Linked DNA regions of Danio rerio. The main gene of each other region encodes a partner of the protein of the gene in region 3 in a complex. Links are inferred from orthologs where the notes say so. Each region holds a gene or a part of one and is shown on either strand. Other genes may lie near its edges.

Region 1 (4,634 bases), on a different chromosome or scaffold from region 3:
TTTAACCTGTAAAATGATCCTACAAGTCGCACTGTTTATACATTATATTTTACACTTGCACCCACAAAAAAAAAAACCTCTACAATAAAGTAAAACAAATTATACAGAAAATTACATAATTACATAAGAGATCAATGTACCAAATATAAAATCTAACAACATAAGAATACTGTGCAAACTACTTAATTTGATTCAGTAAACGAAGAGCACTAACCTCAAACTTCATACAAACACCTAGACTGACCAAAGCCTTGGCCTGGTGTTTGAGGATGAACTGAAATCCCTCACAGACCAACCACTCCCTTTCAGAATCTGAAAACAGACATAAGAGGCGTCAGGTTCAATTTTTCATTTTAGCACAATATCCTGTTAGAAATGATCAACAAGAATAAAAACAGTAAGTAAAGCTGGACTGACCATGTTTTTTCTTCTTGGGTTTCCTGACTATTGAGATCCTGCCATGCTTATGATGAAGGCTGGTAACATCCTCTACCTCCCTTATTTTCTAGAAGATGTTAAAACAAGCAACATGCTTTAGGTGTGTAAAGCTTATAACATCATGCCATTAAGATGAGACACTGTAGACAAAACAGTCATCATAAAGTGTTTCTTTTATAGCACTATAAATTTGTGCCTGCAGATTTCTATTATATTACACGTTTTCAGATGCTGTTTTTTTTTAAAAATTGGTTTTGTTCTCCTGAAATGAGCCATAAAGCTTCTTCAGCAAGTCTTACACCAAACGTTTTTGTTTTGTTTGTCAGTTTAAAGGTGCAGGAGGTAATCTGCCAAAATGCTATCCGTTAGCATATCTTAGAAAACCCCAGCCATCCCAAGCCAGGACTCCTGAAATCATGAACGCGCAGCTTAAAGTTGACAGCAGACAATCACTAGATTGTGTCATTTGCCAGTTAGAAAACTTTATAGTACTTATAAAACTACAATTCCGAACGACATACTGTATTATATATCTAGCACATTTTCAGTTCTGTCGCAAGCAAAACTTGTCATGATGTACAATATTTAATGCATGCAAGGATCGCTGGTCTCACTCTTTCACACGATTTGTCCTACAGCGACTACTGTATGCTTAGTGGTTGGCCGGTGGCATGCAGGAATTACACTTATTACTAAGCCATATTTACATGCTATTTCAGGCTGAATATTCAGCGTAGCATGGTAAACAATATAGGAGCACTTCACAGATTGTGAGTAGCCCCTTTCACACAGTGATACCGGTAAATATCCGGAAAATTTCCGGAACGACTTTACCGGTATATTCAAAAAAGCCCTGTTCACACAGGTAAGGACGTTACGGAAATTTTCCGGAAAAGAGCATTCACACATCCATTCCAAAATACCGGTAAATTCTGACATCATTCACCACAAATGAGCTTTAAACGGCTGCGCTTGTGTTTGTAAACATTTGACTAAATTACAAACTCTGTGGATGATCAATATTGTGAACAACTTTCGCAGGATCACTTTCGCATGTCGAGATGTTCATAATATCTGCGTGTGCAGGCGCTCACAGGCTGTTTCACAGGCACACGCAAAGCTTGAAGGTAAACAAACAACGGCTTATCATAAGCATCTCATCGATGATTATTTACACAGTTGGCATTAAGAAGAACATATAAACGTGATCTGACTAACTTCTAGCAGCTAAATGTGTCTGGAAAAATATTCAAAGGCTTTTATTCTCACAAACCCCGCGGACGTAAATGCGTCTGACTGTTGTGATTGGCTAAAGCAGACGTCTCACGTCAGCACGTTCTAGACGTGCACGCGCTTATTACGGGAATCTTCCTTCTGCATTCACACAGCGCAGCATTCCGGCAAATTGCCGGTAATGTTACAACTTCTCTTTCCGGAAAATAGCCAGAACGAATTTACCGGTATTTTCAAAAAGGACCTGCCGGAAAATTGCCGCCAATTTTCCGGAAAGGTCTGTATGTGTGAAAGGGGCTAGTGTTAAACAATGAACCAATGTGATTATAAAACTAACTTCAGCTCAGTAGAGCAGGCTGGGCAGAAAAGCGCTATTTACTGATGTTTTTTTTTTTTTGTTAAACTAAATAAAAATCTACATTATCGATGCTGTAAAAGGTCCCTTATGCAATTGAAATTAGTCACATCAATCGTTTGCCTGAAGATTCGGCTGAACAACACTTCTGTGCATGTAACCCATTCATAAAACCTGCATAAGCTTTACGTGACTAAAATACTATTTTAGTTTTCATAAAATGAAAAGTTTTCATTTATGTCTGCTTTCAATAAAAATAAATCAATCAACCGGGGGAGTATGATAATAATTAGTAATATTTATTTACCCAACTCCTGCTTTAATTAGCTTTTTGTTTAATGATTTTTTTTAAATTAATTAACCAATCATTAAATTAAATGTTAATATAACTATTAAAGTCAGCAGCATAATGAAAATCAGCAGAAAAGTGAGTAAATTATAATACATACGACAACTTCATACCTGTCCATGCATTTAAACAAGCTCATAGGAATTGGAAGAACTATACATATGTAAAAAAAAAGTGATTTCTGTCTATGTATTAATGTACTATATATTAAAATATCTATTAACCCACCTCGATGACATTGTGGCAGCTCTTACAGAAGAACTGACCCTCGTCTGACACTCCCCAGTCCACAGCAGCGCACTGTCCGCATGGCTCACTATATCCACCCTGGAGAAACAGCACCGCAGCTCACAGAGTATAACGAATTTCCACATAACACTGCAGACTGACAAAATACACACTAGAGATACTTACAGTAATTTGTTCGTCCATGGTGTAAACGTAAGCTGAACTTCAAAACATGAGACAATTTTTGTTTTCTGTTTTCAGCGTGAGCATACTCGCTTTCAACATGGCCGACTATACGTTTTTCATAATAAAAGTCACTCGTTTGTTCAGCGTAATATTTTACAGTAGGCCCTGGCCCACTGATCTAGAACCCTTTGGTAGGGCTATTTCATTTTACTATATTGTGTAATATGTATATGTGCATGTTAATTACAATTTTGATGTTTATTTTTTTCTTCGTTTACAGTATAACTCAACTCATTTACACGTATAATTTTAAACATCTATTTTATTAATGAAATGTAATTATATTGTATAAATATATGTGAATCAAAATAATAATAATAATAATAATAATAATTCATACTTCAAGTTTAGATAACAAGGCATAGCCCCCAATTTGCACATTGCCACATTGTAGGAATTATATTATCCCATATAATTATTTTATGTATTTGCTCTATATTATGTTGTTAAACATTTATATTGTCTGGAATGTAACTAAATTATTTTTAGGCTTGACAGATAAGTAATAATAATAATAATAATAATAATAATAAAGTATTGACTCTATCATGAATTCTCTATTAACTTATCTTGGATACATAAATTGCGATTCATAATTATTTTTATATAGAAATTATACATTTATTTTACTTGTTTTATTGTAAATGCATGTCTCTCCTGCAAAACAAAGATGTGTCACAGTCAATGGACAGTAGATGGCGCAAAAATCCATAGCTAGATAAAACTGACAGTAAATGGTGGTAGGCTACTCATTACCTGGATTACAATCAGCCTGCTTGAGTCAGAATTTCTATTGTTATTCTTTAATAAATTATAACAAATAGTAGGCAAATACAAAATAGTGTTCATATTCTCGTTTGCTCATCATGACCTTTCTATTGTTTGTTGTTAAAAACCCTAGCAAATTTAAGATGCCTCATATTTAACATTTAAACTATAAATATATAAAGTTCCAGTTAATGCAATTGTGGCTTAAATGTGCAATGTAACAAAAATAAAATAAATTGTGCCCATCAACAATGCTTCCTTTCCTCCTCCCCACCTCTTTGAAGAAAAGCTGCTTCTTTCACCACTGGGCCAATTTCATGGTTTACTGCCTCCCATGCGTTTCCTCGTGTTCTCTATGCAAAACACAGCATTGTTGGCAATGGAAATCAGGAACAGTCAGTAACTGCAGGTGTGGGTTTTGTTCTTCACACTGAAACAGCGGATTGCTCTCCCTACAGTGTGGCACGTTTTACATCCCCACTTGTCCTCCACAGACGCCGCATAGCGTGGATAGAGATTGTGGGAGGCTGTGGGCGAAAAGGGAAAATTATACAGAGTCTAGCTCACTTGCTTATCTGGTATATAAATATTACATGCACTCTCTGCCTTTCCCATCACGACTCTGCTGCTTCCTGCTGTTCACGGCACCTGAAGTTGGCTAAAAGGAAACAGGCACTTTCCTTGAGCTGCTCAAGACTGAGAAGAGAGACCTTATCTGTGATTAAACCATAAAATTAAATAATATATAAAAACGCTCAAGACATGTTGATGACCGTGGAGTCAATCAATCGATTGAGAGAAGTGAACAAGTTTAGAAAAGTTTGATAAATTCTCAGACATTTCTTTGTTATTTAAACCTAATTAGGCTTTACTTAAGGAATCATTGATGATAATAAAATGGGGAATCATCCTGTGGATTAGTTTAGGACTAGCTTCTTTGACATCTCTTTAAAAGCCTTTTGATTTTTTGTTTTTGACTGTTGTATCGTTGAAGTAACTGAACTGAACTGTAATGTG
Region 2 (4,012 bases), on a different chromosome or scaffold from region 3:
CACATTAAAGCTCTCGTTTCACATACACAAATCTCAATGCTGCTGCTGCTGTTGTTGTTGCTAGCTCAGCTAGCTAAACTGAGCTCACATTAAAAAAATAAAAATGGTTGGCTGTCGTAACCCAACTGTGGGTAATTAATTCTTTTCAATTAAATTTAAATGGCTTTTTTAACCCAGCGGTTGTGTTTGGACATATTTGACCTAACATTAGGTTACAACCACCCAGCCTCTTACAGAGTATAGTGTTTTTAAAACATACTGTACAACAAGTACAATTAATAAGCTTTGGTGATTCTGTAGTTGTTGGTAACACAACAACTATGACCAAATGACCCAATACTGTACTATTCTACACCTACAGGACCTATTAAACAACAATACAACACAGTTTACTGTAGTGAAAACGACAGTATATTACACTATTTATTAGTTTATCAGTTCACTGTAGTTAAAAAAGTGTTGCATAATACATGGTTCAAAATCAATATAGTGTTCACTATAATTTAGAAGTAGTCATACAGATTGATTCATATATTGAGATTATACCATTCATCCTTAACTCTATTCTGGAAATATTAAGTAATGAAGATATAAAACATGGTTCAGTGCGCAAAACACCCACAGTGGAATCATGTTCTGCAGGTTGTATGTAAATACGCCATTTACATTAAACCAATCGCTTCTGTTTGACAGAGATTTAAATCCAGGCCTCGTGTTTAACACTGTTAATGGGTGTTCACATCATATTAAACACATAAAATATCAAACTAAAGCTCTCATTTCGCATGCAATACTCTGTGTTGTTGTTGTTGTTAGCTTGACTAGCTAAACTGAGCTCACATTCAAAAAAACAAACCTGCTAGGTTCTCGTAACCCAACCTTGAGTTAAATATGAACAAACCTAATGTTAGGTTATTTTACCCCTAATTATATTTAACTGACACCTTTTAACCCAGCGGTTGGTTTGTTTTAACATTAGGTTTCAACAACCCAGCATTTGTTATCAGCACACTGGATCTTCAAGGACGCGCCAGCCCTCATGTCATTTTCGCCTGTACGTCACATGTAGGATCGACATTCTAATGGAACTCTTTTAAGTCACAGAATGTTACAAAGTTGCAGTTTCCCCGCGGCGGCGGCCGATGCGGCCTTTATGACGTCAGCAGCGCAGAACTTTTATGATCCAGCATCCCGAATAGATGAAAAGTTGCAGATACTCACTGCTGCATTCTTCATCCGCGCAGCGCTTCAGCTCCGAGAACCGCCGGTCCGAGCAGCTCCCGCCGAAGCACGAGCACAGGAGGAGGGTAAAAAGTGAGTAAAACCGGGGATTATTCGGTGCAGCCATGCTGGCAGCTGTTGATCGCGGAGCCGCTGCCGACACGTCAGCAGACCGGAGGCGAGCTGAGCTGCTTCAGTGAGGAGGAGAGAAGCTGGAGTCAGGTTACAGAGCCTGCGCTTAAAGAGATAGCAGCACCAACAACACACCACACAGATCAGCTGGGGGAACACTGGCTCTACACTGTGCTGTGAAAATATATTTATCTATATATAATTTAATAACAAATATCTAAAATAAAATAAATACATTTTATGTAGTGTGTGTAGGGGCATGCTTATGTTTTTATTTATTTATTTATTTGGATTTGTTTTGGTGTGTTTATTTGGATTTTTTAAAAAGTTTTATTTAGGTAGTTATTATTTACATTTGATCTATTCTTTATTGTTTGGTTTTATTGTGATTTCATTAAATTTTTATCTATTTATTTGTTGAGATTACATCAAAAACAAAAAAAAGAGATAAGAAAACAAATAAAAAGACCAATTAATTGCTCCTCAATTAATAAGGTCAACTAATTAATGATGGTTAGTTCAAATCACAATTTACACTATTAACTACTGCATTAGGCGACGCAGTGGCACAGTTGGTAGTGCTGTCGCCTCACAGCAAGAAGGTCGCTGGTTCGAACCTCAGCTGGGTCAGTTGGCATTTCTGTGTGAAGTTTGCATGTTCTCGCTATATTGGTGTGGGTTTCCTCCGGGTGCTCCGGTTTCCTTCACAGTCCAAACACATGTCATACAGGTGAATTGGGTAGGCTAAATTGTCCATAGTGTACGAGTGTGAATGAGTGTATGTGGATGTTTCCCAGAAATGGGTTGCAGCTGAAAGGGCATCCGCTGCATGAAACATATGCTGAATAAGTTGGTGGTTCATTCCGCTGTGGCTACCCCAGATTAATAAAGGGACTAAGCCGAAAATGAACGAATGATTGAATATATAAGATATTAACTTATAAAATATTATCCTATTCTACATTCCTAATCAATGCATAAACCAAACTATACCTAATGAACCATAAGCAGCAAATTAATAAATTATTGAGCTAAAAGTCTTAGTTTAATCGTGAATCGTTAATTCAAGTGTGAATTATAATTTCAAATAAAGTGTTACCAAATTAATAGTAAGATTTAATATTTCAGGCATGGTGGCTCAGTGGTTAGCACTTTCACCTCACTGCAAGAAGGTTGCTGGATTGAGTCCTTCGTATTGTTTCTCTCATTCCTCTAGTGCTGCAGGTGGCGCTATGACCCGGTCACGATCATCGCTTGTTTTTATGAAGAAGAGTTTAGTTCACATCCTCACATGTCCAAAGAAGTCCACAAATTCACAAGTGCACTATTTAGTGAGTCAATAGTGTTTATAATAACATATTTCTTTCATGCCTCGTTCATCATCATCATCTGAATAGGAAGGCCAGTCGCCGTATTGCACTGAGAAATGGATGACATCGAAGCTGAGCTCAACATTGCAGAAACACACGCGGATTTTACACAAGATGAAAGTGAACATCGGCAACGGCTGAAAAGACCAGTCCAGCTTCACTGTCAAGTTAAAGACCGAGGTAAAGTTTCATTTACACCCTCATGTTTACTCTAAATTCATTATAATGCACCCAGAATGCGTGTAAAGTTACTTGTTTTCGCAATTCGGAGGGTTATTGCACACAAATAAGATAAGAGATTAAGCTGGGATTCTGAGGGACATTCTAAAGCACTTAAAGTGGCTTAATGCACCTAAACATCAAAACATCAACATTGAAGTCCATTAAAAGGAAAAAGCTTAACGTGGCTTAATGTAACGTTACCTTAACAAGCGGGGAAAATCAAATTTCTATCAAATTTTACTCATGACACACTTTCTGATGACAAAAGTATGGAAGCCCGTTCCAGCCTCTGAATAAAAATAAATAAATAAATAAATAAATACAATGTAAAAACAAATTATAAAGTCAAAATTCTAAGTTAAGTCAAAACCTTGAGATATATAGTCAGAATTCAGAGTTATAAAGTCGCAATTCCGAGTTAAGCCAGAATTGCAAGTTATAAAGTTAGAATTCTGAGCTATAAGGTCGCAATTCTGAGTTATAAAGTCGCAATTTGATTTATAAAGTCGCAATTCTGAGTTAAGTCAGAATTCTGAGATATAAAGTCAGAATTGTGAGTTATAAAGTCAGAATTCAAAGTTAAAAAGACAATTCCGAGTGTTAAAGTCGCAATTTTAAATGTTAAATTTCGAGCTACAAAGTCGCAATTCTAAATAATATTCGCAATTCCGAGTTATAAAGTCGCAATTACGAGTTATAAAGTCCCATTTCCTAGTGATAAAGTCGCAATTCCGAGTTATAAAGTCACAATTCTGAGTAATAGTCGCAATTCCCAGTTATAAAGTCGCAATTCCGAGTGTTAAAGTCGCAATTTCGAGCTACAAAGTCGCAATTCTAAATAATATTCGCGATTCCGAGTTATAAAGTCGCAATTCCGAGTTATAAAGTCACAATTCTGAGTAATAGTCGCAATTCCCAGTTATAAAGTCGCAATTCCATATTGTAAAGTCACAATTTCGAGTAATAAAGTCACATATCTGAGTTATAAAGTCGCATTACCGAGTAATAAAGTCGCAATTCCGAGTTATTAAGTCACAATTCTGAGTGATAGTCGCAATTCCGAGTTA
Region 3 (4,667 bases):
CTGAAACATCTTAAGAATGATCAGTGGAAACAATGTACCAGAGCTCAATTTAGAGCTTTACAGCAAAGGCTGTGAATACTTGTGTACTTTTTATTTTCAATAAAATCTTTTTTCACACTGTCATTGTGGGGTGCTGTGTGTAGAGGATGGAAAAAATGAATTTAACCCATTTTGGAATAAGGCTGTAACATAGAAAGATGTGGAAAAAGTGAAGCGCTTTATTTAAAGGTTAATAAAAGACAAGAGCTCACCAACATTACTGGACCAATCTGTATGTGATGTATCGGCCAGCCGTTTCACTCGGTCTGATGATCTTAACAACCTGAAAAACACACACAAATTCACAAACTATCAGCTGATTGCGGTCAATCAAAATGAGCTAAAAATTGGGCTGATTTCCTACCTGGCCTCTTTTTAAGCCAAAGTAACGTGCAACGGGATCCCCAGCTTGAATTCTGGGAAGTTGGCTTTCCTTTAGCTTACTGGAGAAGCGCTGGTTAAGGTGACCTACATGTACTGTGAACTATCCAACTGGAGTTAAACATATATAATACACAAAGTTGAGCTAAACCATAGAAATATGAAAATAACACTGCTGTAAACTTAAGCATCTTTCATGAAAGGATACTACCGCGCCAGCAACTCAGTCACTTCTTCTTTTGTCATAACTATGTGCTCTGGAACAAGCTGAAATACATGAAACCATAGTTATTGCAAAGGATAATTAGATAAAAGTGTTAAGCATCTTAAAAAAGTGCTCAAAACAAAAATGATGAATATATTAATTATCAAGAAAAAAAAAGGTGCCCAAACTCGGCACTGCAGAGTTTGGCTCCAACCCCTGAACCAGCTAATCGAGCTCTTACTAGCTCTACTAGAAACTTCCAGGCATGAGTGCAGAAGCAAGTTGGATCTAAACCATCTAAGACTGAGTTTGGGCATCTCTGATCAAGAGAAACAAGATTTTCTTCACAAAGAACCAAATTATACAGTGGAATTCAATGGATCATTCTTCAATGGGCAATATGAACAGCTAGTGTTTTTAAACCAACAGTAAAAGGTTTTTGTGACTATTTATAAGGTTGCTTTTACAACATCGTAATGTAATTGAAATACAATCCCTTAAATAAACTTAAGCATTCATTTAGTAGTTCAAGCATAAAATGAGATAATAGACTGTGTAACTGCTAGCGCTGTCAATGGCAGCAGGCTAGCGCAGAAACTCCATTCAAAATACTGAGGTAAAATAATTTAACACACCGCTTTATAGCACTTTATATCATGTATGTGTGTGTGTGTGTATATATATATATATATATATATATATATATATATATATATATATATATATATATATATATATATATATATATATATATATATATATATAAGGCACCGGAAACCATATTAAAAGTCTGTGTGCATATAGCCCATTGTGTTCAAAAGAAGAAAGAAACTTCAACGCTAGAAACTAGTGGACGGAGATTAAATGATGTCAGAAGAGTTATTTCTGTGTAAACTGGCTTTTTAAGTTAGGAGATTCTGATTGGCTGTGGATTTTTTTATTGTTCATCAGCTAAAAATATAATAGTTCTCCGAATGTGATTTTGGACTAACAGTAAGTGATACAACATTAAGGTGCTTTTTTCCACCAGTGAATTAAAAACCGTGCAGCCATTGACTTCCTTAACGGGAACAAAAATACTACAGCAGGTCAATGGCTGCTGCTTTCCAACATTGTTGTCAACAGAAGAAATAAACTCAAACAGTTTTGGAACAAGGGTGAGTACATGATGACAGAATTTTCACTTTTTGGGTGAGCTATAACTTTAAGTCTCCTCACCTCGTGTTCTGTAATGTTGATTAGAAGCTCCTGCTGAAGAAACTGCTCCAGTATGTACTTTGGTGCCATGTCGACCAGAGACTGAAATGTGACAGAGAGAGATAAAAAAACGTATTTATCTTGTAAAGTGCTCGACATTAGAACTGTAAACATTAGTAAATGTGCGAGTTGCACCTGTTTGGCGGAGGGTGTCATGCCCATCTGTACTACAATGATGGCGCGGGTGATGTTTTCCTCCTGCATGCGCTGGCAATACATCTTTATGGTTTTGATGCCAACCTTTGGTTCCTCTGAAAGCAAAATTGAAGTTTCAATATATTTAAACTCTTTAACGTAAATACAAAATTGATCAACCACTCCACTGAGGTAAAGCTGGTTTCACGTTTGTCCATTTTTACCATGATGCTTTGAATATTCAGTCTGCAATCGCATGGAAGTATGACTTTAAAACAACATTAGCCCTATTTGACTATTTAATTAACAGTGATGTATTTGATAGTAGCTGGCTGCTAATATGATTTCCCTGTTTAGAATTAGCATAGAATACTTTTCTGAAATTATATTATTAAGGAGATTGTCCGAATATAAAACCAACTTCACCTAATAACCACTCCTTGTTATCTCGGACTAGTTAAATAAATAGGGCTGCTGCGGAATAAAACATACCCGGGAAGAACACAAACATCTGGTCGGTCGGGTCGTCATTGTGGGCCACCAGGACTGTCAGGTCATTTCGTCGTGGTCGACCCTCGCTCGGTTTATCTCCAAACTGACTCCTGAATTCATCAAGAGTCTGGTCCAATTCATCCTGCGTCACCAAATATCCGCGATCGTGACAAAGCTGTTGGTTAAATATCAACATTGTTATTACATCATGTTATTTCTGTTATTTAAATGTGTATGGTTTTATAAAAGACATGAAATCCATTCAATAGTAAACCGGAACAAGCATCACTAAACTGTGCGAAACGTTATAAATAAAGCATATATGTCTTTCTTTACCTGCATTATAGTTTTTCTAATTTTCCATAGTCTGTATGTCTCTTCCTCGTCATCCATACTGCGCTATAAATATGATTAATACCAAATTTTGACGATCAAAACAATCCGCTAATGTGATGCTTCTTCTCCACGTTTGTTTCCCGTTGCTGGCGCGAGTAAATGACGTCAGACGTTACGCCACAGCGTAGATACAATGCGCAGCTTTAAAAAAAAAAAAAAAAAAAAAAACAATGCGCAGCTTTATTTCGTACAAAAAACAGTGCGCGTTGCTTAGAAGTATCACAACTTCTAAGCAATATCACAGCTATTGCTTTCTTTAAATACTGATTTTGTTTTATGTAAACGAACAAGGAAGGAAAGAGAGTTGTATAGCATTTGAGAAGTGCGTAGGGTTTGAATCGTTTGAATATAGATTCAATCGAACAGTTCAAATATCCGGTGTCAAGGCGATTCAGTGATTCATTTTGACCATAGAGCGTCGTCCCCAGCGTTTTAGGAAATGTTACAGGGTTAAAAAAATACATTAGCAATTATTCCAGAGGATTTTGATTGAGTAGATTTACGTCAATTACATTTATTGTAACGTTATGTCTGCTTGTGTTCAAAAGTTAACAAAATCGATTAGAACAATTAATAAATTGTTTTGAAAAAGGGTTTACAAAAGGATAACGATCATTAATTTTGTCTTATTGTAACCCACCTATGAAATTGATTTACTGAAAAGGGGAAAATTATCTACTGGGTCTGAGCTTTCTAAAGTATATATGAAATTTCAACACAATTTACTTGAAATCTCGGGTTCGGGATATCTCAACTTAACGACACAATATATTATTGAATGGTGTGGTCAAATTTTACATATTATTAATACTATAATCTCCAACTGCTCAAATAAAAAAAAATAAAAAAACCCAAACACAAGAAAATACTTTTGAGTTTGCTGTATTGCAAATTTTCTGGTCTGTATCTGAACTGCTTTTCAGCCCTTATAAAAACATACTCATGTATTCAAAACAAACAAAATTAAATAAATAAAATACAATATGTTGACAGCAATTCAGCCCTTTTTGAAAAAAAAATAAAACTATACAGAAGTAGGAAAATACAGTTTCAGTTGTCTAAACGTCCCAATTTCAACATATATTTATATATATGAAACTTCAAAGTCCTGAATGTAATGTAAAACGTAGTTCAATGACTGTGAATCAGTGTATGTGTTTCCTACGAAAATCCTTGACGATTGAGTGATGACATGCGTCCATCCAAATTGGGAGAAATCCTCACGGAGTGAATGTAACGAGCCACTCCCCTTGCCTGCACGAGTCCAATGCGGCCGCGGCGCGATGGAACAGTCCAGTGTCAGTTAGCTAATGCAGCAAAACAATTTGGGACATTAATTTTATGCAGAATTGGCAGGATGGATTAAATTAGAAGACAGCCAAAACGTGTCTCTCCTGTCTTCACCACAAGCTGGCGTACAAGTGACGTCAGTCACCCTCTTCATATAACTTCACAACTTCACATAACATTGCTAACTTCAACTAAGAGCATTTTCACAAAATAGTTCACAATATGTTCAAAATATATACATATAAAACAGAGTAAAACACATTGAACACGGTAAACTTGTACATTTACAGCGATCCATGAACAGTATGCATCATCTATACAATATAGCTAAACAAATCGAAAAGTAAAATAAATATGCAGGAAATCCGAATGTATATAACTTACCTAATGCAGCAAAACAATTTGGGACATTAATTTTATGCAGAATTGGCAGGATGGATTAAATTAGAAGACAGCCAAAACGTGTCTCTCC
Region 4 (2,745 bases), on a different chromosome or scaffold from region 3:
AAGGGCTACATCAAACCCCATATCGACAGTGTGAAGGTCTGTCTCTCAGATATTTGTGTACCACTGGTGTTCTTCATACCTACATGTTCATCATTCCATGTCATTTGTCCTGTCAGTTCTGTGGAAGCACCATTGCAGGGCTGAGCTTGTTGTCCGATAGTATAATGCGACTGGTCCCGGAAAACAATACCACAGATCGGGTGGATTTGCTTCTAAGTCGGCGCTCACTTTATATATTACGGTAAATATTTACATATTTATTATCCCCACCCCCCAAAATTTCTCAAGTTATAAGAGAACTAAATAAAATTTCTGTTATCATAGAATATGAAGTAATTTTACCTCTAAAACACTACTACTTTAAATCAACAGGGATGATGCACGATTTAAATTCACCCATGAAATCTTAAAAGATGAAGAGTCCTTTTTCTCTGGACAGAAGGTTCCACGTCATCGCCGCATCTCTGTGATATGCCGAAACCTGCCCATGTAAAACAACTGAGGCTGGACTGATCATAGCACCTGTCTTGAAAACCAAATAGACCTCTGTTGATTCAATTTTCAGTCTGATGTATTTTTCCTTGAATAACCACAAAAAAGAGACTATTTGGGGGGAACTAAAGCCTCTGGAGAATTTATGAAGGGAATAGATCAGATTCATGTAATTTATCATATAAATGGAGTATGAAAAAAGATGAGACCAGTCAACTGCTTCTATGTACAATGTCAATTTTTGTATCCATTATTAACTTTCCTCTCAAATAATAAATCATTATTGCATAGAGAGCATCAAATTTCAAATAAAAACAAATAGGTATTTATTTCAGAACAGATTTAACATACTACGAAGGGCAAGCGCCAGCAAAATGTGGTACCTTTTACAGTTTTTTTTTTTAAAATCAGCACAATGTTAAGCCAGTTAAAAAAAAAATCTATGAGAACAAATGAGTGTGTAATAAAAGCCACATCTTCACATTTTCTGAGTCCTTATTTAATTTCTTTCTTGGAAAAACATTAACCAGCTTCTCATTAAGATGCATAAATGTGAAATTTACAAACACACATTTCCCATATCTACAATATACAAAAACTCACTGTGCTATCTTTCTTTGCAACGTTTCTTTGTCATTTTACTCTTGACCTCCGGTATTCTCAGCTTTAACTCAATGAGCAGCAGTTTAATGACTACTGTAAATAAACACTGGACTGTTAAAAGCAAAATGACAGCAAAACAAAGAAGGTGTTCACCAAAATGAGCTGCATTCCTGAAGGCGAGGCTGCTGGTGATGGATGCTCAGAGTTTCACTCAGTGAGGTAGAAGTGCATCTTGTCATTGATGTTCTTCCTCTCTGGATTGAGCCTCTTTAAGATCTGCGCGAGCACATTGACCGTCTGCTCGCTGCTGAGGCCTGTGCGTTTAGTCTGGAACTTCTTCAGCAGGTCTTTAGTGGTCATGGGCTTTCTGATGAGATACCTGCGCACCGCATCCTCTGTCAGCAGCACATCACTAAAGGGGAGAGAGAAAAGGATTTTATTTACAATATTGAAATAATCAAGAGTTAAAATGGTCAGTAACTCTGGCAGTGCTTTTGAAAATTTGAAAGGAAAAAGTTGGTGTAATGTGTTGCTACATTAAGTAGGTCTAATACACAGTGACATACTGTTAAAGACTTGATATAATTGAAGCTAAGTATTTCATTCTTTGCTTTTTCCATTCAGCAATATACTCAGCAAAACATTTCCAACATTGCTGGGAGTAGCAATTGGATGTGTAAATATAGTCATAGCAATGTAACTCTGACCCTCCAATCAGCTCACATTTATTTAGTCCCTTACAAAAGTTATTGGTTAAACGGAAGCAGCTTTACAGTGCTGACTGTGAAATAAATGTGTCAGTAACTATGTTTCCATCCACTTTTTTTTTTTATTTATACGCATATCCAACATGCACATAAAATAAAAAACGTAAAAAACGCCAAAAATAAAAAACGCCAAGATAAGAAGTTAAAGAGTTAAATAAAAATAACTTTTTATTCGATAAGAAAAAATGCGTATAAAGACTTTCACTAAACAAATTTTAGTATGCGCATTAAAAAAAGTCATTGATTTTGATTATGTGATGATAAAAGATGTGTGTGAGTCGACAAACCAGCAGGCTTAGCACACTGTAAAACATGAAATGTTATTTTGGTCAGTCTGAAACACCCTAACCAATTCAGTATTAGTGTTATTATATTACCTCCAGAACTGCTAAGAGTGTCTGTGCTGTGCGTTAACTGCGTGTCAGCATCATCTTCTGAGGCACAAGTCATTTATTTAATTAAGTAAAAGATTCACACAGCTTCTCATACCTCAGGAAATTAAGTTCCTTTTACTTTTGATATTTGACGCCAGTTAATTAGGAAGTGACAATTTTGATTTGTTTGACTTGTTGGATGGAAACTTTGCTTTATGCACAAAACTAGAATATCGCATAAAAGGTGTGCGAATAAAGTTAATTCACATTTTTGGAAGGAAACATAGCTAGTGTTGCTGGTTTACTTTAGTTTTTACTGAAGCTGCTCTGAAATGTGCTAGCCGAAGAGATGTTTTCTAGAAAGTTCATTTGGCAAGCTGTTTCAAACACTTGAAACAACCTCATTCTGATTTTGTTGAATATATCATGCCACTTCACAGTCTTTAATTCTGCACTCCATGGCTTAATGCAAGTATAACCAAGTAAAATTCTCAGAGATGGAAGGATAG
Region 5 (4,012 bases), on a different chromosome or scaffold from region 3:
CAGCTCCAGATATTTAGTATGCCAAATATCTCACGGTTGTTAGCAACTCATCGTCGATTCTCTCAGATGGTGTCTTTGAAGGTTCACTCTGTGTGACTGTTACTCACGTGAACAAGCAGTGATTTGCCTGTGATTTCACACATTTGTCTGCGATTTCTCTAAACTTGTTGGCGAGTCAAAATCGGGGCCAAAATCATGCAGTCTGACCTCGACATAAAAAGTCAGTCTATTTTTAGAGAATCATTATTTAGGAATGATGAAAAATGTATATGTATTTTGAAGCTTGTAATTATTATAAATTAAATAACTGTTTAATATATTTAGGGTGACTATTTTAGCATCATTCCAGTCACTACAGAGGGGGAAAAAAGCCTTTGGGATAATTCTGGCACATTATACCTTTCTGTAATTATAGAATGTGCATTGTCTCTGGAAAAAAAAAACATTATAACATCTATAAGCAGGTTTTATTCAGTGATATTTCAGTCTTTACCCGTATGTCTGTAAGCTCCGCCCCTGTTCTGTCAGCATAGACCAACACTCTCGGGTGGCAGGAGAAATCACACCATCGCCACGGCGACTTGGCATTAAAGTACAGGTTGGCATCTTCTTCACGAAACTTCTGCAATCTGGAAGAGAACAGAGTTACAACATTCACACGCTGCATCATGTGGTGCAGGTTACATCAGCTCATTTACAGAACTACAGCTTATTCTTACTGCAAAAAAACAGGTTTGATTAATCATAAACTTCAGTTTAAGAGTGAAAACTGTTCTCTGAAGCTGTTGATGGAGGAACTTGCTGAAGATTCATGCATGATGTACGGTTGTTATGAATGCAATAAGGAAATTACATATAATTTGTGGGAATCATCGATATTTGGTTGTTCTTGTGTTTATAATAAATGACTTTTCCCAAATACAGCAGTTCCTTACTGATTCTACATGAAATGACAGGTTGAAATTTAGATTTTTTTTAATAGTCTGGGTTTTTTCACGTTTCAGAAAGCACACTTAAAATAACACAACTGTTATTCAAACAAATTCTGCACTGTTATGCATATCTTATAAAGTTATACGATGATTTTATTTAACAAAGAAAAAAAACACAAATTTAAATCTTTCACAGAAAATCTTGACATTTGCACTGGCTGTTTAATATAGCACAGAAGATAAAATATACAAATAAAAATAACGCAAGTGTCAAATATAAAATTATCTGTATTTTTAAGTCAAAATTAATTAAATATTTTCTGGCAGTGCCTCCAGGATTTTGCAGGGACATCATATATATTTTAGGGTTGTCTCAATACTGGAATTCGATGCCAATTGGTACTGTAATTTTAAAAACGTCCATTTCCCGCTAACATTTGAGCGCTGTTGAGCTCATTCTTAAACATCGCTGATTTGTCATTTTGTTCACATGCTCAACAGAAATGACTGTGATTGGCCGTGAAGGTCATCATTTCACCAAACTCACCACTGATTACAGAGTGCAACCACAGATACAGGGACACTGGAGCGTTTTAAAGCCGTGATGATCAGTCAATTCATCAGGGGATCTCTTGTATGTCAGCTTATAAACAGACCAGCTGAACTTTACAGCTTTAAAACGCTCCAGTGTCCCTGTATCTGTGGTTACACTCACTAAACGGTTTGGTAAATGAAGTGACCTTCAAGGCCAATCACAGTCATATATAAATATAGATGTGCGTGTTTGTTTGCAGCCTAAAATGGGATTTGTGATGTTTTTCTCAAAACTTACTAAAATTCTGTTTTTTCTGTGAAAATACACAGAAATCTTTTAAAATATTTTTTTAATAATCTCAAGATCCATTGAACTCGCAAAATTCTGGAAGAACTGCCCAGTTTTATTACTGACCTACACCAAAACTGTTTAGTTAATTAAAATAAAACCAAAACAAGGGCATGAAAACAGAACAAAACCTCATCCTCAAACCCAAAATAAGTATAACTAATAATTCACTCAATAAAGGTTCAATTTGAAATAAAAATTGTACAAAAACAATCAGAACTAAAACACAACAACACAAACAAGTACTGAAGATTAAACAAACTAAATGTTCAAACAATGAATAATTTACTAAACTAAATTATACTAAAATAACACTGATTTATGTGACAATAAATCAACATTAAATACCTGAAAATATGATAAAATGGTGAAAAAAGTATAATCTCAGTATATAAAAATATGCAGCTATCAAAGTGTTAGAGCGTTGGTTCCTAAACTGTGGTACGTTTACCATTAGTGGTATGCGGGCTTGCTTCTAGTGGTACGCAGAGGAATCAAATGTCATTTGTACATGCTACATACATTTCACATTTTATCAAAAATGGTTCATATATCAATATGGTGTTGAATAGCCTATATTCATAAAGAAACATTTACAGGTTTTGATGAATCGGATATTATATGTTAATACTTTACATTTTAGTACAGGAGTTTTTTTATTTTACTTTGTAAAACCAGTAGCCTACCATTCTTATTAACTTTTAAAAAGCACATTGTTAATGTTCAAACTATTTATAATCTTTAAAGTGGTCGATAATAATAAATATCATTAATAATAGGAATTAATTTGCCATGTTTTAAACTGTGCAGAGCTGTGGCTGCTTTGCTGGACCTACTACGCTATGAATTTCAATACTGCTCATTATGGTGGTAATTGGAGAGACAATTTTTTTCTGAGGTGGTACTTGGTGAAAAAGAGTTTGAGAACCACTGTGTAAGAGAATTCTTAATTATAGTAAATGCTTTGAAACTTGAATTTAACATAACAAATAAGGTTTTCTGGTCAAGCTGTTCTAATATCTAAAACTAATCTTATTAAAACATTACTATAAGCTTAGGTACTGGACAAACTCATCTAAAGAACCTTTTGTAGTGGATTTGATGAAGATGTTGGAGTTTTGTACACTGAGCTCTAGGCACAAGATAACAGTCAAGCACATATTGTTCTCTCTCACTCACTCACACACACACACTCACACACACACACACACACACACACACACACACACACACACACACACACACACACACACACACACACTTACCCTTTTTTGGGAGTCCACAAATACGCTGCTCCTTGCTCATTGGCAACTACAATCTCACCTGGTAAGTGTGGACTGTAAAAGACAACACATTCATACATACAAGTTATTTTATTATCATTTTAACTCATTTTTGTATTTATCTTTTATATTTAACTCATATTTAGAATAGAGTTGCAATGGCTAAAATGGTGCAAATACAAAAATCCACTGCAAATACAATGTGTATACTCCTAATAAGCACACGTTAAATAATAAATAATTATCCAGAATATTTTGAAGCTCCCATGATATCAATCCCAAACACATTCATTAACCGAATAACGGCATAGGTCTAAAGCAGGGGTTCTGCCGGTTTCACCAAGTTAAATTAAGACCTTTTAAAGACATTTTTAAGACCATAGTGAATTCAATTTTAGGCTTATACAGGGCTAAATGCTAAGGATATTTGTGATACCACAGTTGGAGAAGACTTTTAACTTGCCCTATTTAAAAATTATTATAATTTAATACATTTAACAATACAATCATAATAATATTTTGATAATAAAAAACTATTGGTCAGGTCAGTATCTTCAGAAGTAAATAAATGCAAAACTTTTAAACAAGTGTTACTGTACGGAAAGAAATTAAATGCTATTTTCATATTAGAAAATTAAGCGTTTTATTGAGATTGGGATTGTTGGTGATTGTACATGTGTTAAGGGCCAGAATGGTATACATGAACAAAGGAAAATTAAAACCTGTTAAAAAAAAAGATGTATAACCTACAACACAATAAGTCAGAAGACTTAAGACTTTTTAAGGCCTAAAGTTTGTCCAACAGATAAACATTGAAGTCATATCGCTAATATTATTGAATCATTTCAGTGTTCATACACACTTTCACTACTGTTCTACAACTGTTCTACTCGTAGTACTGTACTACTACGAGA
Region 6 (4,570 bases), on a different chromosome or scaffold from region 3:
AATTTTAAAAGTTTAACAATTCAGTCATGAGCAGAAAGAAAATGCACAACATAAAATGTATTTTAGGATATGATATCATAATATGAAACTTAAATAAATCAAATTGATTTCCTCTGTAACAAATAATAGACTGTGAACCCAAAAGGGTCTATTAGATAAAAAATTATATGTATATATTATATTTATAATGGCTAATAATTCTGACTTTAACTAATATAAAATGAACCCGTGGATATATATCCATGCTTTTATGCTAAACAACCAAAATTGATGCAATGAACAAACTTTTTTATGTCAGTTAAACTACCTGGGAATTGAACCCATGACACTGGAATTGCTTAAAATAAGCTTGTTAGATAAATTTATTTGATTGATTTTCATATATTATATTAATACATTATACTTTTAAAGAAACCAAAAGTTAATGTTATACATTTATGCGCTTCTTGATATAATTACATATTCAATTTTAGTTTTTAAAGAGTTAAATTGTTGGAATGTGCTAGTTGCAGGAATAATGTGCTGACAAAAAGTTGAGTATATGATCAATTGAATTCTACCAAACAGATTGTTTTTTTTTTTTTTTTACAAGAATGAAAGACAATGATTCATCATCTGTTTGTATGCCTGTATAAAAACTGGCCCTGTAAGACTGCTCTCTGAGCAACCAGGATGGAACCTGTATTTCTTCTGTATTAGTCCCTTGCTGCAAGAACATCTAGGAAAATGAATCTTCCTGAGCCTTGTAATAATTTTTGACCCTGACAAGCTTGACTGTCATCGGAAATAATTTCCTTCTTACCTGGTTGGCTTGCTCAGTGAAGGACTCAGTCATTTTAACTGTAACATTGGCATTGGCTTCTTCATTGGCACTGAGATCAATAGAGGCAACCCACTGAAAACCACAAACACAAACATGTTCCTTATTGACATATTACAGGCCAGAAGAAATGCATGAATCGATATAGTTAATGAGAAACACATAACATTGTTTTGAGTAAATTAATTATTAATAGTACTACTAAAACACGTGAAGCGTGTCTGATGACACTGAAAGGGGGGGAAATAGTTATTTTCAATAATGTGTCTTGTCTTCTGGGTTTATACAACTTACCCAGTGTTTAGCTTTGAAATACTGCACACATGCCGAGCCCAGAGCTCCTTTTCCCCCGTAAACAATCACTTTCTGTGCATCTGTAGCTGCCATTCTGTCTTCACGAGCACGAGACCGTGTTATGCAAAGAAATCAGAACATGCGCCTCCTACTGGAAAAGATGAGAAGAGCACACATAATTGTATTAGGATGGGTTGCGTATGGGTATAAGCTTAAAATAGACTTACCTTTTTTTAAAAATAATGTTTTTCGAGATTAATGTTTGAAAATAATCCATTAATGCTAATAAATATAAATGGGAACATCGCAACACATGTAAAACGATTTCTGACCAGCAGGTGGCAAAGGTCGTCTTTGCAAACTGCGCGACTACAAACAAAGAAGAAGAACACTTGTCTTCCGGAGGAAATACATGTAGTTGTATAGCATAGCTAGCGTTCTATGACAAGCTTTTCATTTTGCTTTGTCAGTAAGCTGATTGCGTATGATAATTGGAAATAATATTTAACATTCCTCAAAACTCTTTCTCTCGGAGAGAGAAGGCAGTGACAGATTCAGGTAACGTAATGCTCACAGTTTCTTTCTTTGTGGATGTATTGCTTCATGTTTGATGTGTTTAGGATGTTTCCAGTTGATACCATTTGTGATTTTAGACGATTAGTTAAGTTTCTAGGTGTTAGATGTTCACTGTGCAGTTCACTATGGAAGTATTAGCTGTCAATAAGTAGGCTTATAAATCTCAGTATGTTAGACGAGGCTAAACCTCCAACTGACCTCATAGATCTCAACATGAGCAATGTGCTTTAATATCTAAGTTAAATATGAGGAATAAAATTAACATCTGTCTATATGTGTGTCTATAAATGAAACACCAAATGTCCTTAAAATCTTTGAAAAGTGTTACATTTATTAGTGGAGACTGAATTAATAGCAGCCCCTGTTATCTAAACATACATGGGGGGAAAACTGATCACATAATCATTTACTGTAATCTATAGAAGTTAATAATAGTAATGATTAAGAAATATAAGGAACATATCACGTGCTATAGAGGTAAAGTCGGTTTTTTATTCGCACATTCGGACTTCCTCCTTAATATAATTTCATAAAAGTACTATTTGCAAACTCTAAATAGCGAAATCATATTAGCAGCCAATGATTATCAAAGTACATGTTCACAGTCAAATAAACAGTGTTCAAGTTTTCAAATTACACTTGCAGTTTATTTCAGACTGAATATTCAAGGTGCCGTGGTAAACAATGTAGGGAGTGTGTCACAAATTGCCACTGAATGAATGTGTAAATATAAAACCAAGTTTACCTTAATATATATGCTGTGGCTATATAATATGTTCATTTAAAAGTTATTGTTTAATTGAGCACTCATTCGTGGTTTTGTTTTCTTAGGTTTCATCAGTGGTGGAAAGACTACTGAAAAAATATACTCAAGTAAAAGTATCATTACTTGACCAAAGAAATGTAGTGCAAGTAGAGTAAAAATATCTGTTGTAAATATTAAATATGAGTAAAAAGTAGTCCTTTTAAATGTCCTCAAGAGTAGTGAGTATTACGCTGTTAAAAGCTGATGTATTTACCGGTACATGTAATTTGTAAATGTGTGTGTGTGTGTGTGTGAGAAAACATAACATTCTGTAGTGCATTTAGTGACAGTTTAACCAGTTAAATTCCATGGAAAGTGGTTTTGTTTGAAAGTGTAGAAGCTATATTTTATGCACATATGCATCACTTTGGTTTTTATTCTACTGTAAAAAAGTTATTTACACTTAATATCATCTCAAAAACATAGCAAGAATCAGATGCTTTGTTTCTAGTGAAGACTTAGAGAAACTTGTTCATGCTTTTATCAGCAGCAGGGTGGATTACTGTAATGGACTCCTCACTGGTCTTCCTAAAAAGACAGTCAGACAGTTGCAGCTCATCCAGAACGCTGCAGCCAGAATTCTAACCAGAACCAGGAAATCAGAGCACATCACACCTGTCCTCAGGTCTCTACACTGGCTGCCAGTTACATTCAGAATAGAGTTTAAAGTATTATTACTGGTCTATAAATCACTAAATGGCCTAGGACCTAAATACATCACAGATATGCTCACTGAATACAAACCTAACAGATCACTCAGATCATTAGGATCATATAAACTAGAAGTTCCAAGAGTTCAGTCAAAGCAGGGTGAATCGGCTTTTAGCCACTATGCCCCTCGCTGCTGGAATCAGCTTCCAGAAATGATCAGATGTGCTCCAACATTAGGCACATTCAAATCAAGACTGAAAACACATCTGTTTAGCTGTGCCTTTACTGAATGAGCACTGTGCTGCGTCCGACAGATTGCACTGTCGGACACAGATCATGTTTTTCTCTTCTTCTTCATTCTTTTATATCACATTTTACCTGTTTTTATGTTTTTTAATCAGTTTTATTATTTGTTTTTATTTTTATTTTTATTTTACTTGTTTCTTTTATTCTTGTTTATGTAAAGCACTTTGAATTGCCATTGTGTATGAAATGTGCTATATAAATAAACTTGCCTTGCCTTAAACATTGGTTCAATTTCATATTTTTCACAAGATTCATATATGACACAGGTACAAGTTATAGCTCAAATTAAATCTCTTGTCCGTGCTCATGAGGTTATAGCGTTCTTTTTAGTGAATTATATTCACATCAAACAGTTTTCGAATAAATCGCGGTATTTCCATGGCCCAGAAGTGAAAACAATACATTCATGATCAATAAGCAGCTCCAGATAGCACAGACAGCGGTCATCTCTTACCTTATGCTTTTTAGGGCCTTTCTCCTCTGTTTTTGAGGTGATGTGCATAAGTAATCCTTTTATATGTCCGACGTGGTCCAAACACAGTGAATTATGTTTGATCAAACAGAAGAATAGAGAAATATGAATACAATGATCGATCCCTGTGGCTTGTATAGCACCTCTCATCAGTTGGAATACAATAACTTTTTCATAGATTATGGTAAAGAGAGACATTTTTCTTTTTTTCCATGATTACAGACATGTGCAGGAACCACCAAAATTAATTTACTGCAACCTAGACCACACAGAACCTAAAAGGTACACTTTCAAATTTGAGTTTATAAAAAAAATACAAAAAGCAAATTTTTTTTTTTTTTTAGGTGTTTATTATAACACAGAAAACATTTATTACAGTTATTTTAAACACTTTTAAAGTGTTTCCTTTAAAATGACACCAAATTTTTGCATTTACACCTCTGCATGTGGATTTGGGTAGCTTTTAAATTTGGGTAGGCAAAATCCAGGCAGAAATCCCAAAATAGCACTGGAGTTTAAGTGGTTAAGGCCATTTCAGTCATCATGCATTCGGCATCTGTCATCATCTCATCAGTGACATGCAGTCTAAATATGCAGTCTCTGGGTCATTGCATGCAGAGTATATTCTTGGACACTTTTAATGCTT
Region 7 (4,572 bases), on a different chromosome or scaffold from region 3:
TTTCTTTACCAAACTTGACTGATTTCTGTGAGAATCTTGAGTCCATGCGGGTTCCAATAGGTCTTCTGCAGTACTTGTGATGCAGTTCAACAGATGACTCATCAAAAAAAAAAAATCTACCTTTTGCCACTTTTCCAAATGATCAACTAGTTGTCAAGTTATTATTTGTTGCTCTTACAACTGGGATTGACAACAAGACTTTTGTCGGGCAGTGTAGAACAAGAATCATTTGATGACATTGTACTGAAATATCAGTGCAGCCCCCAAAATTAATTGATTTGTTAATTAGTCAGGTTTTATAAAAATTCTGAACTTAGGATTTCTCATAGTTAATTACACATGTTTATTTATTCATATAAAGGGTACTTGGAATATTTCTACACTACTTACTCAGCAATCAGAACTGATTTTATTTTAATTCTGAACGTAACAGATTGATTGATGTTGTTTCTGAACTCCAGATAGTGATTATTGTTGTTTAATGTATCTGTTTATATCTAAACACCTGTATTTTTGATTCTCACCTGTCAGACACCTGCTGCAGATCCACTTTCTTCTCATTATGGATGAGTTTAGTGATGTAATGCCGCAAAACTCCGACGAAGAATGTGATGAAGACTATGGGCAAAACAACCCAAAGGCGAATACTGGAGTCTAGCAGCAGCTCTGGACCTGCCATTTCTATGCTGACTGAAATCGAACTATAAACACTGACACTTCTAAAGTTTTTTTAAATGAATATTCAATTCTGGAATTAATACTACGATGAAAAGTCAAACGGTGGTGTAACTACATAACTTTTAGACACATTTCTGTATGAACATGCGCCATTTGAGCAGCTGCCGTATGACCTTTGAACTAGTAGCGATTCAAACACGAGTCGTTTTGATGAGTCGGATCTTTGAAATGAATTGTTCGAATCGTCTTACACCGGTTTAGGTGGTTTGTGCACGAAATGAACACTCTGAACCGAGTCTATTTTGTACCGAGTCACTTTAAAACTTGACAGTTTTTATTCGCAGACATAGTAAATACAGATATTTTATGAAATTGGGTATATATAGCTCTAATAAAATCTTTGAAGCAATCAGGTATTTTAATTAACACGTTTTGAATGAGAAAGAATTTGTTGGAAGTTGCGTCAACGCTTTAAATTATATTGTATTTACAAATATATTTGTCTTATTGAGAGAATTGTTCTAATAGGTAAACATTAATTAAATAAAAACGAAACGTAGATGTTCATTATAGGAAAACTATAAAACAAAAGTTTAGCTAACGCCATTTCCGGTTTAGACCGAGGACGTTTCCGCGTATCTTGTAAACAAGTGTGGAGCCACGTGACAGACCGAAGGAAGGTTTAGCTTCATTTAACGTACTCGATACTTCATATATTTGCTACTACAATATATTAATCTGTCATATGTAAGCTTTAATCGCTGCATCAGCCCAGCGACGTGCTGTTAATGTTTGATGCACATTAATATTAGAAACATCGATTGCTATTAAATAAAACTTCGATCTGTTATCATCTCATATCATGACTTCTGGCACATCTGTTATTAATGACAAAGTCTTGCAGTATGAGACATTCATCAGTGAAGTATTAAGACGAGACCTGCAGTAAGTATCATTTAATATGGATATTTTGCACGTACACGAAGCTGCCATGGTATTAACGTTACCATGCTTGTACGTTAATTCCATACAAATACAGCTCTATGCTAATCTATATTGTTTAAGCTAATCTATTATGAAATGCTACTATGTGTTCTGGAAACATTATGTACGCTTGTCCAAAGTACTTGTTTAAATGAGCTGAATCAACACGATTCTTGAGTTTTTTTTAGCACAACTACATTTTTTTATTTCAGTTTACTTAAATTTGTAAAAACAATAAAGTTAACTTGATCGATTTGTGTTGGGACAAGATGAAGGAATTAATAACCCTGTGGAACCCAGTATAAGGAACACTATAGTACTTTATTGTAATTTTAATGGTGTTTTTAAACAATACTATAGTAAAGTGAATTGTACTATACACACACCAGCCACTTTATTAGGTACACCTTTCAAGTCCCGGGTCGAACCCACTTTTGCCATCAAAACTTTCTTAATCCTTCGTGGCATAGATTCAACAAGGTACTGGAAATACTCCTCGGAGATTTTGGTCAATATTGACATGATAGCATCACGCAGTTGCTGCAGATTTATCGGCTGCACATTCATGATGTGAACCACCAGTTCCACCACATCCCAAAGGTGCTCTATTGGATTGATGTCTGGTGACTGTGGAGGCCATTTGAGTACAGTGAACTTATTGTCATGTTCAAGAAACCAGTCTGAGATGATTTGCGCTTTATGACATGGTGCGTCCTGCTGGAAGTAGCCATCAGAAGATGGGTACACTGTGGTCATTAGGGGTTGACAGCAACAATACTCAGGTAGGCTGTGGTGTTAAATAAATTATCCCCCACACCATTACACCATCACCACCAGCCTGAACAGTTGATGCAAGGCAGGATGGATCCATGCTTTCATGTTGTTGATGCCAAATTCTGACCCTACCATCTGAATGTGGCAGCAGAAATCAAGACTCATCAGACCAGACAACGTTTTTCCAATCTTCTATTGTCCAATTTTGGTGAGCCTGTGTGAATTGTAGCCTCAGTTTGCTTTTTTATCTGACAGCAGTGGCACCAAAGAGTGGTCTTTTACTGCTGAAGCCCATCCGCCTCAAGGTTTGATGTGTTGTGCATTCAGAGATGCTCTTCTGCATACCTCGGTTGTGACGAGTGGTTATTTGAGTTACTGTTGCCTTTCTATCAGCTTGAATCAGTCTGGCCATTCTCCTCTGACCTCTGGCATCAACAAAGCATTTGCACCCACAGAACTTTTTTTTCCCTTTGCACTATTCTCTGTAAACCCTAGAGATGGTTGTGCGTGAAAATTCCATTAGATCAGCAGTTTCTGAAATACTCAGACCAGCCCGTCTGACACCAACAACCATGCCACATTCAAAGCCTCTTAAATCACCTTTCTTCTCCATTCTGATGTTCGGTTTGAGCTGCAGCAGATCCTCTTGACCATGTCTGCATGCCTAAATGCATTGAATTGCTGTCATGTGATTGGCTGAAACTTTCGTTAACGAGCAGTTGGACAGGTGTACCTATTAAAGTGGCCGGTGAGTGTATGTATTATATTATTTAGTATATGTAAGTATATAATAAATATTGTGAACTGTTAAACTGTAATGGTGTGCTTCAGTATTTACTATAGTAAACCCTGTAGTTGTAGAAAACCACAGTATTAGTTGTTTGTTTATAATGCTATAGTTGTGTTAATAACTATAAAGTCACCACAAAATATTAATTCAAGTACTATACTATAATATGATTCAAAATACTATAGTATTTACAATAAATACATTAGTATTTTTTCATGTAAGTTCTTTTTGCTCCACCAGGAAAGTGGTGGAGCAAAAGAGATGCTGTGGATGAGAAAATACGGCAATACCTGCAGCTGAAGAACACAATATAATAAAATATAGTTCAAGAACACTATAGTATTTACCATAAATTACTATAGTATTTTTTCATTTGAGTACTCTCTGCTCTGCCAGGAAAGTGCTGGAGCAAAGAGATGCTGTGTATGAGAAAATCGCACAATACCTGCAGCTGAAGAACACAATACAAAGCATTCAGGTATGTGAGATTTGCATATGTATTTGCATATTTTGTGCTTATTCTTATGTCCTGACTTATTTGTTTTCAGATATAGTTTGTGCTGTGTAAAAAATTTTTACATTTACTATTACTGTCCATCTCAGTTGCTCTCATTCTGCCTTGTGCGCTTTTAATATGTGGCTGTGTTTGATTCACCTTCAGGAAAGCGGCAGCAAAGAACTGAAAACCGATGTTGACCTTGGCTGCAATTTCTATGTGCAGGCTCATGTGTAAGTGTTGTTTGCATGACGTCTGTGGTGCTGTGCGTCAGTGGAGATGTTGAACATTTTTTGAAAGGGCAATCTCATTTCTTTTTTTCCAGACCTGATGCATCAAGAATATATGTGGCAGTCGGATATGGATTCTTTGTCGAATTCACGCACGCAGAGGCTTTGAAGTTCATTGAAAAGAAGACAAATCAGCTCACAGAGTAAGAGGATTTTAGTAGTGCTGTCAAACGATCGAGATTATTTGCATCAAAATTAAAAGTTTATATTTGCTAAATAGATTTTTGTGTCTAAATATACGCATGACTATGACTTTAAATTTATTTATTCATTCGTTTTCATTCGACTTAGTCCCTTTATTCATCAGAGGTCGCCACAGTGGAATGAACCGCCAACTTATCCAGCAAATGTTTTAGACAGTGGATACCCTTCCAGCTGCAACCCAGTACTGGGAAACATCCATACACTCTAATTCACACACATACACTACGGCCAATTTAGTGTACTTTGTATATTTATGTAAATGCAAACCATTATCTTGGGTGTGATTTATCATTTGACAGCACTGGTTTTTAGTTATAGTGAAGGCCTGACAAAAGCTGCATTTTTTTATATTTCTG

The links.
Region 1: polr2eb (region 3) and taf1b share a complex: the UniProt entries of both Homo sapiens proteins name them as parts of the pol I pre-initiation complex. The link is inferred for Danio rerio from reciprocal best matches to the Homo sapiens genes POLR2E and TAF1B.
Region 2: polr2eb (region 3) and taf1a share a complex: the UniProt entries of both Homo sapiens proteins name them as parts of the pol I pre-initiation complex. The link is inferred for Danio rerio from reciprocal best matches to the Homo sapiens genes POLR2E and TAF1A.
Region 4: polr2eb (region 3) and gtf2f1 share a complex: the UniProt entries of both Homo sapiens proteins name them as parts of the TBP-based Pol II pre-initiation complex. The link is inferred for Danio rerio from reciprocal best matches to the Homo sapiens genes POLR2E and GTF2F1.
Region 5: polr2eb (region 3) and taf1c share a complex: the UniProt entries of both Homo sapiens proteins name them as parts of the pol I pre-initiation complex. The link is inferred for Danio rerio from reciprocal best matches to the Homo sapiens genes POLR2E and TAF1C.
Region 6: polr2eb (region 3) and gtf2e2 share a complex: the UniProt entries of both Homo sapiens proteins name them as parts of the TBP-based Pol II pre-initiation complex. The link is inferred for Danio rerio from reciprocal best matches to the Homo sapiens genes POLR2E and GTF2E2.
Region 7: polr2eb (region 3) and uxt share a complex: the UniProt entries of both Homo sapiens proteins name them as parts of the PAQosome complex. The link is inferred for Danio rerio from reciprocal best matches to the Homo sapiens genes POLR2E and UXT.

What each region holds. Positions count from the first base shown.
Region 1 is NC_133195.1:32,286,168-32,290,801, forward strand, and holds the start of taf1b (TATA box-binding protein-associated factor RNA polymerase I subunit B), read right to left. Parts: upstream 2,901-4,634; 5' UTR 2,808-2,900; coding exon of another isoform or gene 2,790-2,807; intron 2,703-2,789; coding exon of another isoform or gene 2,604-2,702; intron 506-2,603; coding exon of another isoform or gene 418-505; intron 313-417; coding exon of another isoform or gene 215-312; 5' UTR 1-214. UniProt on the Homo sapiens protein: Component of RNA polymerase I core factor complex that acts as a GTF2B/TFIIB-like factor and plays a key role in multiple steps during transcription initiation such as pre-initiation complex (PIC) assembly and postpolymerase recruitment events in polymerase I (Pol I) transcription.
Region 2 is NC_133195.1:55,114,760-55,118,771, forward strand, and holds part of taf1a (TATA box-binding protein-associated factor RNA polymerase I subunit A), read left to right. Parts: intron 1-1,221; coding exon of another isoform or gene 1,222-1,348; exon of another isoform or gene 1,349-1,388; intron 1,389-2,629; exon of another isoform or gene 2,630-2,750; 5' UTR 2,751-2,779; coding exon 2,780-2,903; intron 2,904-4,012. Other genes in the region: mia3 (transport and Golgi organization protein 1 homolog), read right to left, coding at 1,222-1,348. UniProt on the Homo sapiens protein: Component of the transcription factor SL1/TIF-IB complex, which is involved in the assembly of the PIC (pre-initiation complex) during RNA polymerase I-dependent transcription.
Region 3 is NC_133197.1:17,298,896-17,303,562, reverse strand, and holds the start of polr2eb (DNA-directed RNA polymerases I, II, and III subunit RPABC1), read right to left. Parts: upstream 2,994-4,667; 5' UTR 2,903-2,993; coding exon 2,846-2,902; intron 2,685-2,845; coding exon 2,510-2,684; intron 2,134-2,509; coding exon 2,018-2,133; intron 1,925-2,017; coding exon 1,844-1,924; intron 688-1,843; coding exon 629-687; intron 483-628; coding exon 404-482; intron 323-403; coding exon 257-322; 3' UTR 252-256; intron 1-251. UniProt on the Homo sapiens protein: DNA-dependent RNA polymerase catalyzes the transcription of DNA into RNA using the four ribonucleoside triphosphates as substrates.
Region 4 is NC_133178.1:32,749,111-32,751,855, forward strand, and holds the end of gtf2f1 (general transcription factor IIF subunit 1), read right to left. Parts: intron 1,508-2,745; coding exon 1,303-1,507; 3' UTR 795-1,302; downstream 1-794. Other genes in the region: alkbh7 (alpha-ketoglutarate-dependent dioxygenase alkB homolog 7, mitochondrial), read left to right, coding at 1-36, 117-241, 373-493. UniProt on the Homo sapiens protein: TFIIF is a general transcription initiation factor that binds to RNA polymerase II and helps to recruit it to the initiation complex in collaboration with TFIIB. It promotes transcription elongation.
Region 5 is NC_133196.1:7,081,456-7,085,467, forward strand, and holds part of taf1c (TATA box-binding protein-associated factor RNA polymerase I subunit C), read right to left. Parts: intron 3,153-4,012; coding exon 3,081-3,152; intron 630-3,080; coding exon 494-629; intron 1-493. UniProt on the Homo sapiens protein: Component of the transcription factor SL1/TIF-IB complex, which is involved in the assembly of the PIC (pre-initiation complex) during RNA polymerase I-dependent transcription.
Region 6 is NC_133176.1:24,433,455-24,438,024, forward strand, and holds the start of gtf2e2 (transcription initiation factor IIE subunit beta), read left to right. Parts: upstream 1-1,531; 5' UTR 1,532-1,672; intron 1,673-4,570. UniProt on the Homo sapiens protein: Recruits TFIIH to the initiation complex and stimulates the RNA polymerase II C-terminal domain kinase and DNA-dependent ATPase activities of TFIIH. Both TFIIH and TFIIE are required for promoter clearance by RNA polymerase.
Region 7 is NC_133183.1:10,253,019-10,257,590, forward strand, and holds the start of uxt (protein UXT), read left to right. Parts: upstream 1-1,322; 5' UTR 1,323-1,540; coding exon 1,541-1,623; intron 1,624-3,622; coding exon 3,623-3,704; intron 3,705-3,887; coding exon 3,888-3,955; intron 3,956-4,047; coding exon 4,048-4,155; intron 4,156-4,572. Other genes in the region: zgc:86609 (ER membrane protein complex subunit 3-like), read right to left, coding at 525-679. UniProt on the Homo sapiens protein: Involved in gene transcription regulation. Acts in concert with the corepressor URI1 to regulate androgen receptor AR-mediated transcription. Together with URI1, associates with chromatin to the NKX3-1 promoter region.